3 linked regions of the Stegostoma tigrinum genome follow. The protein of the gene in region 3 interacts with the protein of the main gene of each other region in a pairwise test. Links are inferred from orthologs where the notes say so. Each region holds a gene or a part of one and is shown on either strand. Other genes may lie near its edges.

Region 1 (7,422 bases), on a different chromosome or scaffold from region 3:
TACGGTGGTCAGATCTTTGTTGATTGATTGGTGTGGACATAATAGCCCAATAGCCTCATTCTGCACTGTTAATGTCTCAGTACATGAAATAAAATACTTCTTGAATCCAACCGCAGTAAATGTGGGCACCAAGCAAATCATTCATTCTAGTCAGAATCACCCTCCAATCTCATCAACCTCCTCCTTTCTTCCTTTCCTCCAAGTTGTTCTTTGGCCAACTTATGCTATAAAAGTTATTTATCTTTTAGGAGTTGAGTTCTACTAATTCTATACCCCTCTTGTTTTTCTCCCTTTCAATTTCAAGGTTCCTAAACTATGTCCATTACTCTTGATTTTCTTTCTCCTCACTTTCCAGCTTCCTGGGTGTGTTTCTAGTTCAAGTCTCTTCATTTTCAACTGTACCTTAACTAATTCCAGCCATCGCATCCCAATTTCTGGCTTGCTTTCTTCCAATTCTGGATAAATATTACCAGTTAGGTCAGTTGGCTGGACAGTTTTGTTTGCGATGCAGTGATGTCAACAACGTGAGTTCAATTTCTGCAGCAGCTGAATTTCTGAACGACTATGCTTCTCAGATTTTTCCCTTTGAGATGTGGTGACCCTCAGGTTAAACCATCACCGGTCATGCCTCTCTTATCACAGTGCAGCCCTATGATCTGGTAAGACGATGATGACTTTACCTTTTTACAGGGTGGATAAACACAAAGCATCTCATCCTGAGAGATCCTGATTTGATTTCAAATACTACCAAATAAACCCAATAACACTCAAAATAATCTTCAAATTCCATGCAACATACTTCATCACAACACAGCCATTTTAGATGCAGAAGCCTCACGTACCGATTACTTTAAAAAAGACACAGATTCCTATTAAACCCACTGAATTCAAATCCTGCAAGAGCCCCCAAATGTAATGGTCCCAGCTGAGCTTATCATTGGCAAGTCTAATTCCAAAGTGGAAGCTGGCTTGAGAAAAAAAGTGATCTAATGAGACAAAGTGCAGAGCTGGATGAACATACCAGGCCAAGCAGCATCAGAGGAGCACAAAAGCTGACATTTTGGGCCTAGACTCTTTCTGATGAAGGGTCTAGGCCCAAAACGTCAGCTCTTGTGCTCCTGAGATGCTGCTTGGCCTGCTGTATCCATCCAGCTCCACACTTTGTTATCTCAGATTATCCAGCAACTGCAGTTCCCATTATCTCCAATCTAATGAGACAATCCTCTATAAACACAAACGTGAAATCCTGCAGACCTGTTTTAAAAATAGAATAAAGCTCATCAGGCAAAAGAGATGATAAAGAGAAAAAATATTTTACATGTAACACAATTTGAAATATTTCAAAATGGTGAAAATATAATCCCATCCAGCCCAACAGCATCACTCTACAGTATTCAAATACCAGATAGGGTTGAGGACTTTGAAACATCTATACATTTCATTCACATCACACACAGGAGTTCCTCATGTAACGTCCTAAGCTAAATCACCTTTGGCTGCTTCAATGCCTTTCCCTCCATCATAAGGTCAGAAATTGGGACATTCTCTGATGATTGCACGGTGTTCAGCACACTTCACAACACCCCAAATACTTGCAGTTTATGTTCAAATGCAACTAGACCTGCACAATGTGAGGCTTGAGCTAACTAATGGCAATTAACACTCATTGCCTTCCAAATGCAACTACTCCAACAAGATAGAATCTAAGCACCTCCCTTTGGTATTACCACAAATGAAATCACTGACGATATTGTAAAGGATCCCACTGACCACAGGCTGAACTGGACTAGCCACGTATTACTGGAAGCACAAAAGACGACAGGGACTGGGAATTTTATTGCAAGTAACTCAGACTCCCCAACTTTTATTATTCTTTCAAAGGATGAGGACATTGCTGGCTAAGCCAGCATTTACTGCCCATCCCTAATTGCATAGAGAGCAGTTAGGAGTCAACCACATTGCTGAGAGTCTGGATTCAAATGTAGGCCAGACTAGGTAAGGGAAAGGCAGTTTCCTTCCCTAAGGACATTAGTGGACCAGATGGATTTTTCCCCTGACAATCATCAATGGATTCAAGGCCATCACTAGATTCTCAGTTGTAGGTTTTCATTGAATTCAAATTCCACAATCTGCCATGGTAAGATTTGAACCTGGGTCCCCATAACATTACCTAGGTTCTTGGGTCAACAGTCCAGCATTAATACTAGGCCATCACCTCCCCTATCCTGTCCATCATCTACAAGACACAAGGCAAGAGTATGATGGCATACTCCTCACTTGCACGGATGAGCACAAGTACAAAAAAACTGTCAAGAATCTCAAAACCATCCTGGACTAAGCAGCTTAACTGGTACTCCAGCCCACCATCTTCACCTTTCACTGTTCCCACTATCAATGCACAGTAGTAACAGTACATGTTATCCAAAAGATGAAGCATAATAACTCACCGATCCTTTTTCAACACCACTTTCCAAACCCTTGACCTCCACCACCCAGACAGACAAGTAAAACAGTTGATTGTGCAAACCCCAGTTTCTTTCTTACCCCAGGAGCTGGAGATAAACAGTAGTACACACACCATCATCTCTGACAATCCAGGAGCAAACATGATATTCTCTTTTAGTAAATGGAAATATGTCAGTGTGACACACTGCCATTTAGCCCACACATGCACAAAACATGATAAAATCAGGGTCTGTAGTGTAGTAACACCCTTTCTGACACCCCACCAAACCCCTATCACTGTCCACCTTACCAGCTGCTTCTAATATACAAAACATTGACCTACGACTGAAGTAAGATGAACTTACCATATTTTTGGTCAGTTGGTCACTTTTCTCCAAGCTTTCTCTTATGAACGACAAGGTTTCTTGCTCCTGGTTATTAAAGAAAAGTCACAAATATGCATCTAATCAAAGACACTTGACTTCCTAGTTAATAGTAAATGCAAAGGCATCAGACCATCATTAGGATAGCAGTTGGCAATACTTATAACACCACATCGCACCCGCTTTCGCCCCGACCAGACCCCTGGACGGGGACTGCAGACAGAGACCGGCACACGGCACTCCAACTATCCATTCCTCTTCCACGGCTACCCCGGCCATTTACCTGCTGAAGCTTCTCCTCGATATGCCTTTTCCTGGCGGACGCGTCCTCTGTAGGAATCATTTTGCGCCTCGCAGCCTCTCCGCACAGGCCTCAGGTCAGCAGGACAAACTTCCTTTGCGTCACGTCCGGCCTGGGGATGCGGGGGGTGTGGTCTGTCGCTATGGAGACGAACAGCTCACTGGGATGACGGTAGAGTTGAAGATGCTGGATAATCTGAGATGACAAGGTGTGGGCCTGGATGAACACAGCAGGCCAAGCAGCATCAGAGGCGCAGGAAGGCTTCTTCAGACCTAGACCCTTCTTCAGAAAATCATTTACTGATGTTAACATTCTGTCAGCCAGGAAATGTTTGGGAAAAATTGCCCCAAGACATCAGTCCTTTTATTTGGAGCCTCACATGTTTGTGATTTGTCAAATAATCACCAGGGTTGCTTACCTCTCTGAAGGGTCAAGCTGAACTGCTGATTGTGTGACTTGAATTTACTCAGCCTGAAAACTGGAGTATTTCACCGGGGTGATAAATAGGCAGGCGCTTGATCCCAAGACACTCAAGGAGCTGTTCGGCCAGCTGACGACCACAAGCTCACGCAAAGAGGTAGAATTTAAAAAGCATCATAAATGACAAGAAAGAGCGACATGAAGAAGTTTAGGAAGGGAATTCCAAAGGTCAAGGCCCACTTAACTGCTGCAAATGCAACGGAGAAAAATCATTATTTTCATACAGTGAGTAGTTACTGTCTGAAAGCATGCTGGATGCAGGTTCAACGAGGCGTTCAAAAGGGCATTGAATGATTGTTTGGATAGAAATAATGTGCAAGGGTATGGGGGGAAGTATGAGACCAGCTTAATGATGTTCCTTTGAGGAATTAGTGTAAACACAATGCGCCAAATAGTCTCCTTCTACATCGCAACACTTTTATGTTCCTGCAAATTGATGGTACCAGTGCCAATGGTTAAGCAATAAAAAAAAGGTCTGCTGAAGAGACCAAAATTGGAAGAGGTCGGAACATTTGACAACTTGAGCAATTTCATGGTGGCCAGGAAAATGGACATAACAATCAATCAAAAGCACCTCTGAAGGAATGCAAAATGAACACCTGTAAGCTGTTTGTTAAAGAAAATAAAGCAAGGTGAGAAACAATGTGGTGAATCCAATCTGGTGTAATGGCCAAAACTGGATGCATGAGATCTGAAATGAAAACAGAAAGTGCAGGGAAAACTCATCTGTGGAATAAGACAAAAAGTCAAGGACTTCCCACATATAAATAAAGGGTGATTTGGTGATTGTGTACTCGCCGGTATAGAGTTATTTCAGGAGGAACAATGAAATAACACACTCTTGAAGGTATTTACTCATCATAGTTGCCTTTTAGATAGTGTTAGCTTTTCTGACATCATGCTGTTATTTGGGAAGCTTGACTCATTCAATCCTGCTGTCAAAGATGGGCCAAAAATTCGGAAAGAATGCACTACATTTTTCTGAGCAAATGACCTTGTACATTACAACTCTTTTATGTTTCTGCAAATTGAAGGTACCAGGGCCACCAATGGTTAAGCAATTTTAAAAAATGGTCTGCTGAAAAGACCAAAATTAGAAGAGGCCAGAACGTTTAGCAACTTGAGCAATTTCATGGTGACCAGGAAAATGGACATAACAATTAATCAAAAACACCTCTGAAAGAATGCAAAATGAACATCTACTTTGGATTTGGTGCTTGGCAATGAACCGGGCCAAGCGTTAGACCTGTTGGTAGGAGAGCATTTTGGTGGTAGTGATCATAACTCTGTTACTTTTACAATAGTCATGGAAAAGATTAGGTACATACAGCAGGGTAAGGTTTATAATGGGGGAAGGGTAATTACAATTCTGTTAGACTAGAACTGGGTAACATAAAATGGGAACAGATGTTGTCAGGAAAGAGTACTATTGAAATGTGGAGATTGTTTAAGGAATGCATACTGCTTGTGCTCGATATGTTTGTCCCTAACAGGCAGGGAAGATGCGGTCAAGTGAGAGAGCCTTGGTTCTCAAGAGTGTTGAATGACTGGTTAAGAGGAAGAAGGATGCTTCTGTAAGGTTTAGAAAACAAGAAATGGAAAAGGCTCTAGAGGGATACAAGTTAGCCAGTGGGGAGCTGAAGAAAGGGCTTAGGAGAGCTATAAGGGGGCATGAGAAAACCTTGGCAGACAGGATCAAGGAAAACTCCAAAGCTTTTTACACCTATGTGAGGAATGAAAGAATGACCAGAGAAAGGGTAGGGCCAATCAAGGATTGTAAAGAGAATTTGTGCATGGATCGTAAAGAGATAGGAGGAGTGAATACTTTTCTTCGGCATTCACAACTGAGAGAGACCTAGTTTTAGAAGAGGACAGAGTGAAACAGGCTGGTAGGCTGGAGGAGGTTGCTGTTAGTAAGGAAGATGTGCTAGGAATTTTGAGGAAGTTGAAAATTGATAAGTCCCCCGGGCCTGATGGGATTTACCCAAGGATTCTATGGGAAGCGAGGGAAGAGATCACAGGGCCTTTGGTGATCTCTTCGTCCTCACTCTCCGCTGGTATGGTGCCGGAAGATTGGAGAGAGGCAAATGTTATTCTCTTGTTCAAAAAAGGGAATAAGGATAACCCCAGAAATTACAGGCAAGTTAGTCTCAGGTCGGTGGTGGGCAAATTATTGGAAAGGTCTCTGAGAGATAGAATTTAGGATAACTTGGAAAGGCACGTGGATGAAGGTGGAGTAGTGGATGTGGTATACATGGATTTAAGTAAGGCGTTTGATAAGGTTCCCCATGGTAGGCTCCTGCAGAAGGTAAGGAGGTATGGGATAGGAGGAAATCTGGCAGACTAGATTCAGAATTGGCAGACCCTTAGAAGACAAAGGGTGGTAGCTGACGGAAAATATTCAACATGGTGCTCAGTTATAAATAGTGTACCACAAGGGTCTGTTCTGGGTCATCTATTTGTGATTTTTGTAAATGATTTGGATGAAGGTGTGGAAGGGTGGATTAGTAAGTTTGCAGATGATACAAAGGTGGGTCATGTTGTGGACAGTGCAAAGGGCTGTTTTAGGTTACAAAGGGGCATTGAAAGGATGCAGAGCTGGGCTGAGAAGTGCAGGCGGAGCTTACCCCTGAAAAGTGTGAGGTGATTCATTTTGGAAAGGAAATCTTGAAAGCAGAATACAGGGTTAAGATTAGATTAGATTCCCTACAGTGTGGAAAGAGGCCCTTCGGCCCAACAAATCCACACCGTCCCTTGAAGCATCCCACCCAGACCCAGCCTCCCTAAACACTATGGGCAATTTAGCATGGCCAATCCACCTAACCTGCACATCTTTGGACTGTGGGAGGAAACCGGAGCATGCAGAGGAAACCCACACAGACATGGGGAGAATCTGCAAACTCCACACAGACAGTCGTCTGAGGCGGGAATTGAACCCAGGTCCCTGGTGCTGTGAGGCTGCAGTGCTAACACTGAGCCACCGTGCCATTAACGGAAAGATTCTTGGCAGTGTGGAGGAGCAGAGGGATCTTGGGGTTAATGTCCACAGTTCCCTGAAAGCTGCCACCCAGGTGGGTAGATAACAAAGTGTGGGGCTGGATGAACACAGCAGGCCAAGCAGCATCTTAGGAGCACAAAAGCTGACGTTTCGGGCAGAGTTGTTAAGAAGGCAAATAGTGTGTTAGCTTTCATTAATAGAGGGATTGAGTTCAAGAGCTGTGAATTTATGCTCCAGCTATACAAAAGCCTGGTTCGACCACATCTGGAGTATTGTGTCCAGTTCAGGTCGCCTCATTGCAGGAAAGATGTGGAAGTGTTGGAAAAGGTGCAGGGGAGATTTATCAAGATGTCTGGAATCGAGGGAAGGTCTTACGAGGAAAGGTTGAGAGAGCTAGGGCTTTTCTCTTTAGAACAACAAAGGATGAGAGGTGATAGAGGTGTACAAAATGATCAAAAGTATAGATACAGGAGGCAGTCAGAGACTTTTTCCTAGGGTGGAGGTAGCTATTATGAGGGGCATAGTTTTAAAGTGAGTGGAGGTAGATATAGGGGAGACATCAGGTTCTTTACTCAGAGAGTGATCGGGGCATGGAATGCATTACCAGAGCGGGTAGTGGATTCCGCCTCATTAGGAGCATGTAAGCGGCTATTAGATAGGCATATGGATGATAGTATAAGGTAGGGGTGGAGGTTAGATAGACCTTAGGATTAAGGTAAAAGGTCGGCACAACATCATGGGCCAATGTGCCTGTACTGCGCTGTACTGATCTATGTTCTAAATGACATTGGGGTGAAATTGGTTGAGAATGATTC
Region 2 (8,125 bases), about 16 Mb from region 3:
CCAAGCTCAACACTTTCTCACGAGGATGTCAAGTGCAGGAGAAAACGGCATAAGCGAAGCAGACTGATTAGGAAAGACTACCCAACGGCATGATTTATTATATGTATGTTCAACGCTCATCCATGACATATCCTCAAAGCAGGAAAGTGGGACTGCTTTAGTTTGGGATTATGTTCAGCATGGACTAGTTGGACCAAAGCATCTGTTTCTGTGCTGTATGACTCTATAACATTATTAATTTTCTCTGAGTTTCAGGCATCCAAAAGGTGTGGCTTCAAGATGAAAGCTAGATTAAAACTGTGGATGAACTGGTGTCTTCCTGGAGACCCAACACTTCAAGTCGTTTTGAAATGGTTGAGTTGTAAGTTAGTACTCTGGTTATGCACTCCTGTCAACTGAACATGATTCCAATCTTTTCAAAGGTAATATCTGCTGGCTTAACAAATCAGCAATGCACAGAATCCAAAGTGAAAATATACCCAACAGTTCTGATTTGCTGACATACGTAGGTGATGGCTATTCAACCTGCCTCATGTGAAACCAAAGCTTCTATAATCATTCTTCTGGAATCCGTCAACAGACTCCAGGTTTTGAGGGCAACAGGAATTTCAAAGAATATCCATCAACTAAGTGACTGGTGGTCAATAGGACAGGGAGAAGAAACAAAATTAAGTGTAACAGAGACAGTAGGAACTGCAGATGTTGGAGGATCTGAGATAACAAGGTTTAGAGCTGGGTGAACACAGCAGGTCTGATGCTGCTTGGCCTGCTGTGTTCACCCAGCTCTCCAGCTTGTTATCAAGTGCAACGACCCATTTAGAAAAAATATTCAATACAATTAATAGAAATCAAAACAAAAAACAAGTGAATGGGACACTCACTAGATCAAGTAGCTTCTCTGCAGTGTATTAACTCAAAGTTTACAATTATGCAGCTTTTTTTTTAAAGTGTTTCTCTGGTTGGTTGATGCTCTGAGAAAAATTACTCTTTGTATTGAGAACCCCAATTTAACTAAGAAAATATCCAACAACATGCTCTGAAAACCCTGTTCAAATTTTGATATTCCACAATATTCTAAAATACATCAATAACATTCTATAAAAACTTTAATTAGTCTCATCATTCAATGTTAGTGGATCAATTACACAAAAATTCCAGGGTCTGCATCCACATCTTCACAAAGATAGACTAATTATTCTTTTAACCATACCCTGTATGCCAAGTTTCACTGAAATCAAACCATAATCTCAGAGAAATTGGTTATCAACAAACTGGCAAGAAAAAATATTATGTTGTCCTTCAATCGCATAAATTACAAAAATGCAACAAAAAGATCAGCCATCTCTGCAGGAAGAGAGAAGTTTTTATGCATTATTGTCAAAATGACAAGGTATAGGCTGCTGATCAAATTGGACATGAAGTACCGTGTCCAATTCTGGTCATTAACATACAGTGAGATGTTCTACTCCCAGAAGGTAGTTTAGAGAAGACAAGGAGAATGACATCTAGCTCCAGTAGGAGACAGAAAGGACCGCAGGTGGAAGTCAGTGTCCATATAATGTGGAGCTGGAGGAGCACAGCAGGTCAGAGAGCATCTGAGGAGCAGGAAGGTCTAAGATTTGGGTCTGGGCCTGATGAAGGGTCCAAACCCAAAACATCAACTTTCCTGCTCCTCAGATGCTGTCTGACCTGCTGTGCTCCTGCAGCTCCAAATCTCTAACACCACACTCATTTCTGCCAGCCTAAGAGTCCTAGTGCCTCAATCTATGTAAGTATAACCTTACACATGTCAGAGATTCCTTTGGTTTGTTTGGATAAAATCAAACTCAAATGTTTGTTTGTTTACCTGATATGATATTGCACAGAACTGAAATGCATTTGCAACAATGTATATATACAAAGAGATTGTTTTATGAAAAGCATACTTTTGAAATTAAAAAAAACAGTTGCACTGCACCATCCCAGCCCTTCAGCCTGTGCCGCTCCCCAAAGGGTATTGTATCATACAGGGGAAGAGCTGCATTAAGTCCTTCATGAATTTGAAAGTTCTCCTTAAGAATGTCATGAGGCTAACAGACCAGAGGGAAAAAGTTACAACTTTGTGGAATAACATATAATTTTGAAGTACAGTGCAATATCAGAATACATACGCTCACAAATATCACTTCATCTTCACTTTCACGTTTTTCTGCTGGTAACAACCCATCACTAGACGACATGATAGAAAACAGATCTGCATGGGAAAAGACCACAAAAAAAAATTTGGCTAGTTGTTATCAAACACTGAGAAACAAATCAAAGAGTTATTTCGCAGGTTTGTCAAAAATTCTGTCTTCTATTTCTCGGCCAGCATTTCTAAAGCAAGCTTAAAAAGAGATGTTGACACTTGAAAATTGCTTCACAGAGATGGCAAATTTGAATGTTTGCCGAACTGTTCCTTGAAGCAACCTTTTGAAAAACTTATTCCATGAGATGTGGGGGTCACTGGCAAGACAAGTGTTTGCTGTACATTCCTAATTGAGACAATGATGCTCAGCAGTCTAGCTGAACCATTGTAGTCCATTTGTTATGACTTTTCTGGATTGGTTGGTCCAATGTACAGTTGCCAAGCCACTTCAGAGGGCAGTTAAGAGTCAAGTACATTGTTGTGCATCTGGAATTACTTGTGTGTCAGGCCAGTTTAATATACCAAATTCCCTTACCTGAAAGGCATTAGTGAGCCAGATGAATTATTACAACAACTGGTCATCAATATTGAGACTAGCTTTAAATTCTACTATTAATTAACTAAATTTCTTAATCAAAATTAGTATATCCGACTAGCTGCCATGGTGGGACTTGAACCAGTGTCCTGAAAGCATTAGCCAAAGCCTTTGACTAATCCATCACCATCCCTACTTCATGTTCATGCACTATTCTCGGGAGCTGTGAAAAATCATCTCAGGTAACTCAATTACTTCCCATGCGTTCCTTACCTCCTTCAGCTTTCTCTCTCTCAAACAGACCACAGGCTTGATCCTTTGCCAGAACATTCATGGGAAAACAAGATTATTCAGAGATAATGGGAACTGCAGATGCTGGAGATTCCAAGATAATAAAATGTGAGGCTGGATGAACACAGCAGGCCAAGCAGCATCTCAGGAGCACAAGATTATTCAGCCTGCTTTACATTTCAATAACACTATACATGCTGACCTGCATTTTAACGCCAATGTCTACTCACCTGATTCTGCAACTCTAATACTTTAAACAATAAAGAAAACTACCTTGGTTTAGAAATCTTTCATTGTCTACCCCTCACATCAATAGCTTTCTTTGGCAGGGAACTCCAAATTTCCATCGCCTCTGTGAGAACTGCTTCTCAGCAATACCTCTGAATGGCCCACTAAACTCCTTTAATCATTTTAAATATTTTAAAATTGATGATAAAATATTTTAAAATTGATGATAAAATTTTTATAGTATTAGCAAAATTTCCGATTTTTCTTTGAACATTTATTCATCAGTCATTTTGCTTTCTACGCTTCAAGAAATACAAGCCAGTGCAATCAGTCTCCAATGTTTAACACCCCAAGTTCTTTTACAAGGCCCTTGGGTATGAACAGATCAAGGTACAACCACCATTGATGAGGTGCTGAATGTGAGGGATGCACAGGAGGTACTACAGTTGGAGGAAGCAAAGCTTTCGGAAAACTTGGAACAAATTACAGAAACTCAAATGAGTCATTATTTACAAATAAGTTGTCTGATAAAAGTGCCTTATAATGGTAAAGCTATCACCTGCATTTTTAAGTCAAAATACTGAACCTCCCCGCCCCCTGCACCTGGTCTTCTTGCAATCCAGCATTCCTTTCCCAGTTCAGCTTTACACTTACACCAACCTCCAGCACAGCGCCAACTTCCTCCTTCACCAGCCCCCACAGCACACTCCGGGACTCAGTGCCTTGCTTCAGCTGCCCGAATGTCCACTCTTCTCTGCATTGTATTTAGACCACAGTTTACACAGTGGTTAACGAATGAATGAGAAAGACCAATGGGCAGAATGGGGAAAAAAAGGAGCTCAGACGTGATCACAACTAGCCTGTGCTCGCCAGCCCACTCCTCACATTGATGTTAACGCGCCAGACCGCTCGAAGTGCTAATTCCACACTGCGCTTGCGCCGTTGTCGTCTTCGAACAAAGCGTGGTCACTTCCCCTGCGCCGCCGTCCCTTACGCACTAAACATGATCACTACGCCTTGTGCTGCCATCAGCCCGCACAGAGTTACCGAGCCTGCGCCGCCGAATCTCACAACCTAAACATAGTCACTACGCATGCTCTGTCGTCTCCACCGCACACAGTCACTGAGCCTGCGCCATCGTCTCCCCTGAACTTGGTCACTGCGCCTGCGCTACCTTGTTCAACGGCATCTGGTCACTACGCATGCGCTTCCGTATGCTGCCCCTTTCCTGCGCCTGCGGCTGCAGTGCCGCCGTGCCCTGCGAAATTACTTAACTCCTTGCTCACTGCGCCTGCGCTACCATCTAACCCTGTGTTGCTGTTCCCCCTTCCCCCGGTCACTGCGCCTGCGCTACTCTCTCCCGTGCTGCCGCACAGCGTCAGCCCGCACTGCTTTCCCACCCCTTGCTCACTGTGCGTGCGCTGTTATCTCCACTGTAAACAGAGGGGATGTCTGACTCACAATGTCTACGTCAGGTGTGTCCGCATCAATGCTAACCAGGGGTGGTGCAGTTAGATATTTCACATATAAAAAGAAATTAGCTCCCTTGCTATTAGAAATTTATGAAAGAACGTGGGGGGAAAAAGATCTGAAGAAGGATCTAGGCCCGAAACGTCAGCTTTCCCGCTCCTCTGATGCAGCTTGGCCTGTTGTGTTCATCCACTCCACACCTTATTATCTCAGATTCAACAGCATCTGCAGTTCCAATTATCTGTTGCATGTCAGTCTAGTTTAATTAATGAATTAATTTACTGAGGTATTTCAATTTACTTTCATAAGGAGAAGAGTATGATATCTAAAGTATTTATTGTAAATGTTAGCCAAGGTTTGGTGGGTTGCAAAAACAGAAGTTGCTGGAAAAGCTCAACAGGTCTGGCACCATCTGTGATGAAAACAATCAGAGTTAATGTTTTGGGTCTGGTGACCCTTCCTCAGAACTTCCTCAGGGTTGCAGCCTGGTTTCTGAAGGAGGTACCTTCATTCCCCATTTCAGACTATTACATTTTGCTTGATTCACCTGGCACAGTTGTGAGGGCATGCCATATTGTCACAAACACTGACAGCATGATGGTGGACCTTTCTGATTTGTGGCATCTGTGCATCGAATGAAATAAGACATTGGGACAACTCACCATACTTTTAAATACTGCTGTGGGATATTTTATGACCCCTGAAAGGGCAGACAACATTTCCGACAATGCAGCATAGTCTTTGAGTGAAATTTTGCTTTGCTTCCATCTTTATATGGTTAGAAATGTTTAAAGATGTTCCTAAGATACTTTGGAATTTCCCAAAGAAAGAATCAAAGGGCACCATTTAAATGCGTGTTCTTTCTTTTGCAAACCACCAAACATGAGCAAAGATTGCAGAGTGTAAACATGGGCAAGGGCTTTGTGCATTTTTCAGGTGATTAATTTTCCTGGTCAGAGACACATTGATACAGACTCATTTAACACAAACACTGTACCATAGAAACACAGATGCAGAGTAGATTTGTCAGAATGCTCCCAGTGTTGAGGAACTTCATCACTGAGGCTAGAGAATGAGCATTGAAGGATAAATGATAAATAGGGGATGCTCAGTATTAAGGGAGGTTTGAAAGAGTTGATGAGGAGAAACTGCTTCCGCTAATAGAGTCAGGGACAGACAGTGAAGATTCATGATAACTGGTAAAATAACGAGAATGAGAGATGAGAATTACTTTTATGTAGTGAATCAGCAGGATCTGGAATGCAGGGCATGGAAGTGTTGTAGATTTGATAAATTTCTAAAAATGAAATGGCCATGACATGGAAAAGTAAAAAAGTGCTGCGTTTGTATGAAAGAACAAGATTTGCAGGCACAAGTAGCTATATGAAATTATAACACAGTGACAGTGACAAAGACCTGACCTCCTTTGCTGGCTCCTTTGTAGGAGTGGGAGAAAAACTCATCTCCCTTAATTTTTGTGGAGTTTGGCCCCTTCTGCTGAATATAGTTCATGGTATCTCTGAGAATATGTGAACCATTAGGGATCCTCAGCCTGAAGTCGGGGAAACAAAAAGTGACAGCCACCAGCCGTTGGAATTCTTTCACTAACAGGCTTTGGAAAACAAAAAGAAATCTGTTTCCTTATTTTCAATACTTAGTTGCTATTTAGAGAATTTTTGTTCTCTTTGGGAAAGATGCCATTATACATTCAAAACTGAAGAAAACACTTATTGGAAAATATAAGTGTTTGGATCTAAAGTGGTTTAACTGTTCACACCCTTTAAATTTGAGAAAAAGAAGCAGTCTGTGGCTTTCCCTCAGAATACAGTTTTAAGGAAGATGCAGAAACAAGCCTTTGAAGATGGCAAGCCACGTCATGAAGGCTATTTTAAAAATTCCATAGGAGATATTTGACTTCAGAAAGGAGAGGCATAGAGTACAAGAGCAAGGAAGTTAGCGAAATCTTCAGAAAATATTGGTTAGGCCTCATCTGCAGTATAGTTTCCAATTCTGATATCTAAACTTCATAGAGAATGTTCAGAAGGTGCAGAAGTGATTTACTAGAATGGTCGCCTTCTACTCTTCTAGCATCTGATGACAACAGCTCGTCTTCTGCCATTTCCACTACGTCCAGTATTACGTCGGCAACAACCTTGCTCTCCACTTTCAGAATTCTAATGGATTTGTTCCCTTGGTGAGGTCCTTGTTTAATCCTTTGCCATCTTCACGTCTCCTCCGTTTCCAAAAGCATAAAACATTTTCTAATCAACCTGTTCAGAGATATTATTTACACATCACTGGAGCAGGTGAGGCTTAAACCCAGGTCTCGTAGCTGAGAGATAGGGACACTATCACTGCTTCACAAGAACCTTTATCCTACAGCATAGTTTCACGCAAGTGCAGCGCATGTAACACCCATCCTCAGAACTCCTCCATTATCAACAGGAAAAGCCCCGAACCACACCCCCCCGCCCCTCCCTCAGAAGGGAAACGGTCATTTACTTTCACTTCTTTCAATTTAGCTACTTGCATTCATTGCAAATCTGTAGATCTCTTCTAGTCTAAATTGCACACTGAATGATCTCTTTGCAGGACACCTCTATTTAGCTCACACACATGGCCTTTCAGTCATGAATTTCAATTCTTCAACTGTCTCTCCGTCTCACCTCATTTCTTGCTTGTTTGAACAAAGACTATAATGAAATCAGGAGCTGTATGCTCCTGGCAGAATCCAAATAGAGCATTGGTGAATAGATTGTTGGTGAGTAAATGGCAACTGATGACACTGTTGAAGACACCTTCTTTTGCTCATGATTGAGAGTGGACTGGTGACAATAATTACCTGGATTGCATTTGTTAGCAGTTTTTGCTCACAGCTGGGTAGTTTTCCACTTTGATGTTTGGATGGCTGTTACTGCACTAGAAGAAGTTCACAGAATCACAGCCACAGAAATATGACAGTGCAGAAGGAGGCCATTTGACCCATTGTAATCTCTGTACATGTTAATTTAGTGCTTTTCTCCTGTCTTATTCCTATAACCCTGCATGTTGTTTCTTTTTTTAAAATCAAACGCTCTCTTGAATACTTAATTGAGCCTGCCTCCATCACGCCTGCAGGCTGTGCATTCCAGACCCTAACTATTCGCCATATGAAAATGTTTTTTCTCACCTCACATTCTTCCTTTGCAAAGCACTTTGAAACTGTGCCCACTGGTTCTTGAATCATTTATGAGTGAGAAAGGTTTCTGCCTACCTATCAGTGCAAACCCTTCATGATTTTGAAAACTTCCATCAAATCTCCACTTTGCCTTCTACTCTCCAAGGAGAACAGTCCCAACTTCTCCAACCTATCCTCGTAACCAAAGTGAAAACCAAAAATGGTGGAGATCATAGCAGGTCAGGCAGCATCCAAGGAGACAAGGCATAACTGAAGT
Region 3 (7,885 bases):
TGGAGCCCTTCGCTGTCTCCATCAGGAAGGACGTGAGCCTGAAGGGCGTGACTATCCCAGGCAGCGGAGGCCTTCAGGTCAAGACCTCCCTGTACATGGACAATGTCGCCGTCTTCTGCACCGATCGTCGCTCGGTGAGTAGGCTGTTGGACATCTGCGGCCAGTTTGAACTGGCCTCGGGTGCCAAAGTCAATAGGGGTAAGAGCGAGGTCACGTTCTTCGGGAACTGGGATGACCGCTCCTTCATCCCCTTCACTGTCAGGACGGACTACCTGAAGATGCTGGGTGTTTGGTTTGGTGGAGCTGGGGCGTGCACTAAGACTTGGGAGGAGCGTATCACCAAATTGAAGCAGAAGCTGGGCAGGTGGACGCTCCGGTCCCTCTCCACCGCGGGTAAGAACCCGGTTGTCAGGTGCGAGGGGCTTTCGGCACTGTTGTATGTGGCGCAGGCCTGGCCTATTCCCTGGACCTGCGCCGCTGCAGTCACCCGGGCCATCTTCCACTTCATTTGGGGGTCGAGGATGGACCGGGTCCGCAGGGACACCATGTACAAAGACCTGGGAAATGGGGGGGAAAGGGCGTACCGAACGCCACCCTCGCCCTGACGGCTACCTTTGTGCATAGATCCTCAGTACGCAAACACCAAATGTCACTACTTACTGAGGTTCTACCTGTCCCCAGTATTGCGAAGGATGGGCCTGGCCTCGTTGCCGCGGAACGCTCCGAGTAGTTGGACTGTTCTGTACCACCTGTCCTACGTGGAGAAATTTTTGAAAGGAAACACCTTTGACCACAAGGCCGTCAGGCAGTGGTCAGCACGTAGTATCTTCGAGACCCTTTGGGAAAAGGAGAGGGTGGATCCCATCGTGTGGTTCCCCACGCAGGCTGCCAAAGTCGTTTGGCAGAATGCCTCATCGCCAGAACTTTCAAACAAGTACAAGGACATTGCTTGGCTGGCGGTGAGAGGGGCTCTGCCAGTGAGATCCTTTATGCATGCCCGGAATCTCTGCGTCACCGCACGCTGCCCTCGAGGTGGCTGCGGCGGGGATGAGTCTGTTGATCACCTCCTTCTGGCGTGTGCCTATGCGCAGGAGGTCTGGAGGGGGATGCAGTGGTATTTGTCGAGGTTCGTCCCGAGCAGCTCCGTGACGCAGGACTCCATGCTATACGGGCTGTTTCCTGGGACGCACACCGAGACTAACATCAACTGCGCCTGGAGGACCATCAATGCGGTGAAAGACGCTCTTTGGTCTGCCAGCTGAAAGAACTGACTCTGACCGAATGTTGCAGACTGGCGCACTCTAAGGTCTAGGACTACGTGCTGAGGGATGCGCTAAAGCTTGGGGCAGCCGCCGCCAAGGCGCGGTGGGGAAAGACCACGGTATGAAACCCCTCGTCCAGAATAGAAAAAAGGGCCCTATCTGGTACCTGGGCCCAGCTGGCGCCTTCCCCAACTGGTCAGGGGGCCAACTGGGACTGTGCAGGGTGACAACTGCCGGGGTATTTTCTTTGCTTTGTTTTTTTTCCTTTTAGTTGATGTATGTACCCCCTGGGTAACCCAGAGCGGCTTGCATGACAGGGTAGGTGTATAAATATGTTTTATTTTTTGTACATCTTATGAATAAAGTATATTTTTTCAAATAAAACAAAAGTGACGAAACGTCTGAAAACTAACCTTCCAGCTCAGCGAGCAATCTCACATCCAGAACCTCAACCTGAGCTACAAATCTTCTCAAAACTCGCTACAACCTTTCCGTATCTGCCGTCAAGTCCTCTAAGAATGATTTTGTTTCAATAAATGTCACGTCTCATTCTTCTAAATTCCAGTGAGTACAAACCCAACTTTATTCAACTTCTCCTCATAAGACATTCCGTCCATATCCAGTATCAGCCTACAAAACCTTCTCCATATTGTTTCCAATGCTAATATATCTTTCCTAACGATAACGTCACAACATTCTAGTTGCGGTGAATATTTCTAGCAGAACACCCACACTTTTATAATCCATTCCCTTTGGAATTTAAAAAAAAATCAACATTCTATTCGCCTTCACTATTATCCACCCGAACATGGATGCTAACTTTTTGAGATTCATGGATTTTATAATTCAATTGATCATCCTGGATTTAGAACTCTAACCGTCAGTGTTTTCTTTAGCATTATGATGTGTCAGTGCAAGGAAGTAAAACTTAACTTTTGGCACCCATTTTCAAGTATTCACAGATCACACAGATTCGAAGAACATGCAGGTGTGTGAAAAAGAACTTCAAGCCGCACCACCGCGCAAGATGAAATGTAATAAAGGTAAAAATCGCCGTTGTCTTAGCAGACCATAGGGCAGTGCTTTTATTAGAAGACGATTGGTGGTAGTTCATCTGCAGGTCACCATACCTCAGGTGAGGGGGAAGAAATTGAGAAAAGTTACCATTGAAGGACTTAAGTTGATGCGGAAATTGGTTTGGTGCACAGCAAAGGAGTCAGTGATTCCAAGGTCAATTTCTGACCGTTTGAAAAACTGTCCCTAAAAGAGCGACATTAATCAGTTTCTAAATCACGAGAAATTTTTACTGCATCAAGCCGCCAACTAACAAGAAACCCAAGAACTTGGTGTAATTTTGACCGTGGCAAGGGAAAAAGACGATCAAAATACTTGACGTCGCACGGTGAAAACAGTGAAATGCAACCGGGAAATGCTAGCATCAGCTCGGACAAGGGGGAAGGAAACCCCGTCTCTGGGCCCGGCGGAAAGGGGTAGACCCCAGTCTCCGGGCCTGTCACACAGGCCTCACCACTCACCTCCGTGTTCCTCCAGACACCTCCTTTAATCATTATCCGCGGCATCCTGGCAGTCAGCGACTGGTCCGAGGGAATCCTCGGCAGCTGCAAACGGTTAGGAAGGAGCTCAGTTATTTAACCAAACTTGAACCCAACTCCGGTGATAAACCTCCGGCCCTAGGTGCAGCAACGGGCGATGAGGTGACAAGGACAACACAGCGCTCCCAAGGTGGCCCGCTGCCGCCACCAAGAGCGCCGCCAAGCCTGGCTGACTGACACTGCACCCATTCCACTCCTCTCAACTTTACACCGGACAGATCACTTTGCAACGGCATCATCGTAAATAAACAAATCTTTGATTGTGGGTAGTCATGCAACGTGGGAAAACGACCGTTCGATCCAACTCGTCCATGCCGACTAGTTTTCCCAAACTAATCTACCCTAATTTCCCTGCGTTTGACCCATATCCTTTTACTACTCACGTAGCTGTCAAAATGTCTTATAAATGTAACTGTATAAGTGCATCTACCACTACTTCTGGCAATTAATTCCATTCATGCACCATCCTCTGTGTAAAGACATTATCCCTCCGTCCCTTTGAAGTCTTCTCCTTCTCACCTAGAACCAATGCCCTCAAAGTTGAGAGGGGAACGATTTAAAAGGGACTTGTGGGCAACTTTTTCATACTGAGGCTGCTTAGTCAAGATTGGTGTTTCTGTGAAGGAAGAGCATAAATTTCTGCTGAGGCAGGTTTATTGAAAGGGTTCTCTTACCAAGCTCCAGGGTAGTTCCTGGCAGCTTGGTCTAAGTCACTGCGGCCTCAGTGGTATAGAGGAACGCTGACCTTCATTGCTCTGACAGCGTAAGTGCTCTGCTCTACTTTCTGCTACCTTAAATTCAATCACTCTGCTACTACACTGACTGTGCAACAAGAGTCAAGTTCCATCACTTTTACTATAGCCTTCAACATCTTCACTCATTCATCCTTCTTTCCCCTAACCTCCCACAGCATTAAATATGCATGGCTTCTGCTCTACCTGTGCACTTGCCCAGGAGGCCTCATCACCTATTGTCCACCTGTCCCAGCAGTATTAGTCATGCTGATACACATCCACATTTTGGCTGAAAGAAGTTTCCTCAAATCCCTTCTAAATCTCCTGTCCCTTACCTTAAATTTATTGTCCATCTAACAAGGGGAGAAGCTTCTTTGAACCAACTGTATCTATGCCTCTTGCAATTTTGTACACCTCAATCAGGTCCCCTCTCAGCCTTCTCTACTCTCAGGAAAATATCTCCAGCCTTCTCAGTCTCTCTTCATAGCTAAATTAATCCAGTCCAGGTAACATCCTGTTGAATCTCTTCCTAGAATCATAGGATATAATCATAAATCCTTACAGTGTGGAAGCACATCATTCGGCGCATCAAGTCCATGCTAACACTCTGAAGAGCATTGCAGCCCTCTACCCTATCTCTGTAACCCTGCAATTCCCCCAGCTAATCCATCTAGCCTGCACATCCTGGAGAGTATGGGCAATTCAGCATGACCAATCCACTTAACTTGCACATCTTTGGACTGTGGGAGGAAACTGGAGCGCCAAGAGGGAACTCATGCAGATATAAGAAAATGTGCAAACTCCACACAGACAATCACCAAATTCTAGAATCAAACCTGGGCCCCTGGTACTGCGAGGCAGTAATGCTAACCACTGAGCCACCGTACCATCTCAGCTCTCAGTCATGTTCAACCCAGAGCTCTTCCTCAGAACTGGTCCTTTCGAGTGTATAATTCACTGCCACCTTACTTCCAGATATGCCCATTTTGATGAAGTTCTGCTCTTCTCGCCATCAGGCCTTCGCTTTTAATCTTTCAGCCTTAGCATGTTCATTGCTTTCTGTCTCCATTTCTGAAGAATGGTCAAACCAGAATCAAAACATTAACTCAGTTTCTATTTCCACAGATGTCGCTAGACATGCTGAGTTTCTCCAGCATTCTCTATTTGTTCCATTTTCCTCCAGTGCAGACTTGCCATTTTTAATAATATTTTTCATGAACCTTCAACACAAGTTTTCTCTGGTACAATCATATTCCTCCTACAGTCTGGTGACCAGAACTGTACCCACTACTTCATCTGTGACCTAATATCTTATACACAGCAACCATTACTTCCCTCCTCTTGTACTCAATGTCTCAACTAATAAAGCAAGTCTCCCTTAAATCTTCTAAAGCACCATATCCACCTGTCCTGCGGCCTTCAAATAACTGTGGTTATGCACACAAAATTCTTCTGATTCTCTGTACTTCTTAAGGCTCTACCATTCAACATGTACTCCCTCGCCTTGTTAGTCCTCTTAAAATGTATCACACCTCACTTTTCATGGTTAAATTCCTTTTGCCACTGTTCAGCCCATCTTGCCAGCCTGTCTAACAACTGTATCAACCATTAAAGTTTCTTGACACCTGGTCACTGGACTCAAAACGTTAAGACTTTTGGTTTTTCTTTAGATGTTGCTAGAATTGTTGAGCTTCTCCAGCAATTTCTATCTTTATGTGTCTCAGATCTCCAGCATCTTATGTTCTCTGTTTTACATTAACTTTTCATTTCCATCCAATGCTGCCTAAATCATGTTCCCCTTTTTAGTGTATGTGTTTCCCTGAAACTCTTCGTGTTTTTGCACGTCGACTGGGGTAAATTTTAAAGTTGTGTGGGTCATAGTGGTGAGATGAACTTCAGACAGTTTTGGGGTGGGGGGGTGGTAGGTGGAAGAAAACTACGAGTCCCATGATGCCCTGGAATGTTTGGTGGGGGAGGTTGGTGTGAGGACGGCGACGCAGTGCGCATGTTCCGCCGGCGTTGCCGCGGTGCAGGCTGGGATGTGAGTTCCACACTGACCCTCCTCCCCTTCCCCAGACCCAGGCCAGTTCCCGGTGACCATGGTGGGCACCTACTGTTGTGTGCCGGGCTGCTTCAACAACACACTCAAGAACAAGGAGCTCTCCTTTCACGTCTTCCCCAAGGACGAGACGCTGCGCGGCGTTTGGATCAGAAACCTGTCGCGCTTGGACGAGAGAAAATTCAGCGTGTGGCAGCCCAAAACCCATCACAAAGTCTGCGACGCCCACTTTGCTGGAGGCAAGAAGACCTACATGAACAATGTGCCCATCGTCTTCCCCGTGAAGGTCGAGAGGTCCCGCAAGAAGGAGCAGGCCAGGCTCCTGCTGCTGGGTGCCAAGATTACCCCACCAGGTACACTCCACACATGCAGCAGCAGATGGACATACCCCGCCTCTAGTGGTCAGGTCAAAAGTTTATAATCCCTGTTGAATTTAGCGTCGAAAATGTCAGAAACGTTGAAAATTCTGATCGTTTTATTTGTGGATAAAAAGTAATCCGCTTAATTTTAGGGAGATTTTAGCGGTCGGGTCTGTATCTTAAACAGAATTCGCTCCCTTGTAAATCAATTACACAGACGTGGAGATTTCCATTTGAAGTGCCTGAGCTGCAGTCTGTTGTTCACAGTGTAATCTGAACTCTTCAACTGTGTTACTGTTATATAATTCGCTAGTTTTTATTGAGTATTTCGTGATGACGTTGTGTTTTTCAAATGGGTCCTGGATATAGCTGGTTTAATTTTAGCTTCTTCCATCGTGCCGTTCCCTACTGAGAAAACAGGAAAGTAATAACGTGTGAAGCTGGATGAACACAGGCCAAGCAGCATCTCAGGAGCATTGACACTTGATGACTGGGAAATATTTGAGTGCTAATCTGGAATGCTTTCCTTTTTTTTCGACGTCCGTTAGTGGGTCGAGCAAAAAATCTCATAAGAGGCATGGCGAAAAAAAAGGAAGATCACCTCACCCCACCCCCACCATGGCATATCCTTCGCAGAAATTCCCCTAAGGATACTCTCAGCTAGGTTGCACATTCTGCAGTAATGGCACAATGCAGTGCAACGTACTGCCCTAGTTATTTAACGAAGATAGTGAGGTGGAGTTTGAAATGAAAAAAAGCCATTCTTCCAGTGGCAGCATAGTCTGCACTGTGACAGACCTATTAGTCAGCACTGATATTCATGAGCTGTTATACAAAGCTTACTGAGTATAGCAGAGTTCAATGCTATTGGCGTTTTAAAACTATTAACAACCATAGTTTTTTTTTATCTGATTTGAATGTCTTTCTTATAAATCTGTCTACCCTGTACGAAATTCTAATGTGGTTCCAGATGTTTTGGCCAAATATCAGCCAACGTGTACTCTGGCTTAATTGTCAGATTAGTTTCTAGGAATATTTCCTCTACTTTTATTATGGCATGTTATTTGACAAGCATAGTGGAACTAATTCAGAATTATCATGGAAACAGCATCAAGAAACATTGTATCCAATTAAGATTGATCAGAAAATGAAATTTGCCTTTAAGTGTATGGTGGCATTGTGGTTTTGCAATTAGATTAGTATTCCAGTTCTACAGGCATCAATTTCATTCCCATTGCTGTAAATGGGGAATTCAAATTTAATTCATAAATTAAATTTTAAAAGAAGGAATTAAAAGCTTATTAGTAATGGTGACAACCAAAGCTGCTGTTTTGTGTGAAATCCATCTGGTTTACTAATGTGCTTTAGGGAAGAACGTCTTCTGTCCATATCTAGTCTATCCTATATGTGATTTCACATCCACAGATATGGTTCTTAACTATCCTCCGAAATGGCCCAGCAAGAACTCATCCCTATCATAACTGCTGTGAATAATAAGAGTGCAATTGAATGCTCATACTGTATGCATCTTCAGCACAAGATTCAGATACTAGAAATGCATGCCCATCCCAGTTGCTACAAAGTCCTTCTCACGAACGGCTGGCACTTGAATTAAATATGGGAGAATTGCCCACAAAGTAATTAAACAAGAGCCTGACAAAATCATACCTTGTGACTACTATTCAGCTCCTACATTATCATTCCTGTCTTCCCAGCCGGATAAACCCACAAGGGGTGTTGGCATAATGATGTACCGGAGGATCCAAGTGGTCCTGAGAATCTACATTATCATTAGCAGACCTCATGAAGTCCCAAGGCATTAATTCGAATGAATCTCTTGATTACCAACTATTTCCCT

Evidence for each region. The genes of interacting proteins can lie anywhere in the genome.
Region 1: the proteins of cdc5l (region 3) and exoc7 interact in a two-hybrid assay, tested with the Homo sapiens proteins (2 studies listed by BioGRID and IntAct). The link is inferred for Stegostoma tigrinum from reciprocal best matches to the Homo sapiens genes CDC5L and EXOC7.
Region 2: the proteins of cdc5l (region 3) and znf451 interact in a two-hybrid assay, tested with the Homo sapiens proteins (2 studies listed by BioGRID and IntAct). The link is inferred for Stegostoma tigrinum from reciprocal best matches to the Homo sapiens genes CDC5L and ZNF451.

Annotation. Positions count from the first base shown.
Region 1 is NC_081375.1:4,041,547-4,048,968, reverse strand, and holds the start of exoc7 (exocyst complex component 7), read right to left. Parts: upstream 3,242-7,422; 5' UTR 3,172-3,241; coding exon 3,112-3,171; intron 2,877-3,111; coding exon 2,811-2,876; intron 1-2,810. UniProt on the Homo sapiens protein: Component of the exocyst complex involved in the docking of exocytic vesicles with fusion sites on the plasma membrane.
Region 2 is NC_081357.1:92,286,514-92,294,638, forward strand, and holds the start of znf451 (E3 SUMO-protein ligase ZNF451), read right to left. Parts: upstream 3,242-8,125; 5' UTR 3,037-3,241; coding exon 2,976-3,036; intron 2,234-2,975; coding exon 2,151-2,233; intron 1-2,150. UniProt on the Homo sapiens protein: E3 SUMO-protein ligase; has a preference for SUMO2 and SUMO3 and facilitates UBE2I/UBC9-mediated sumoylation of target proteins. Plays a role in protein SUMO2 modification in response to stress caused by DNA damage and by proteasome inhibitors (in vitro).
Region 3 is NC_081357.1:76,296,476-76,304,360, forward strand, and holds the start of cdc5l (cell division cycle 5-like protein), read right to left. Parts: upstream 3,010-7,885; 5' UTR 2,843-3,009; coding exon 2,798-2,842; intron 1-2,797. Other genes in the region: protein downstream neighbor of Son-like, read left to right, coding at 5,709-6,021.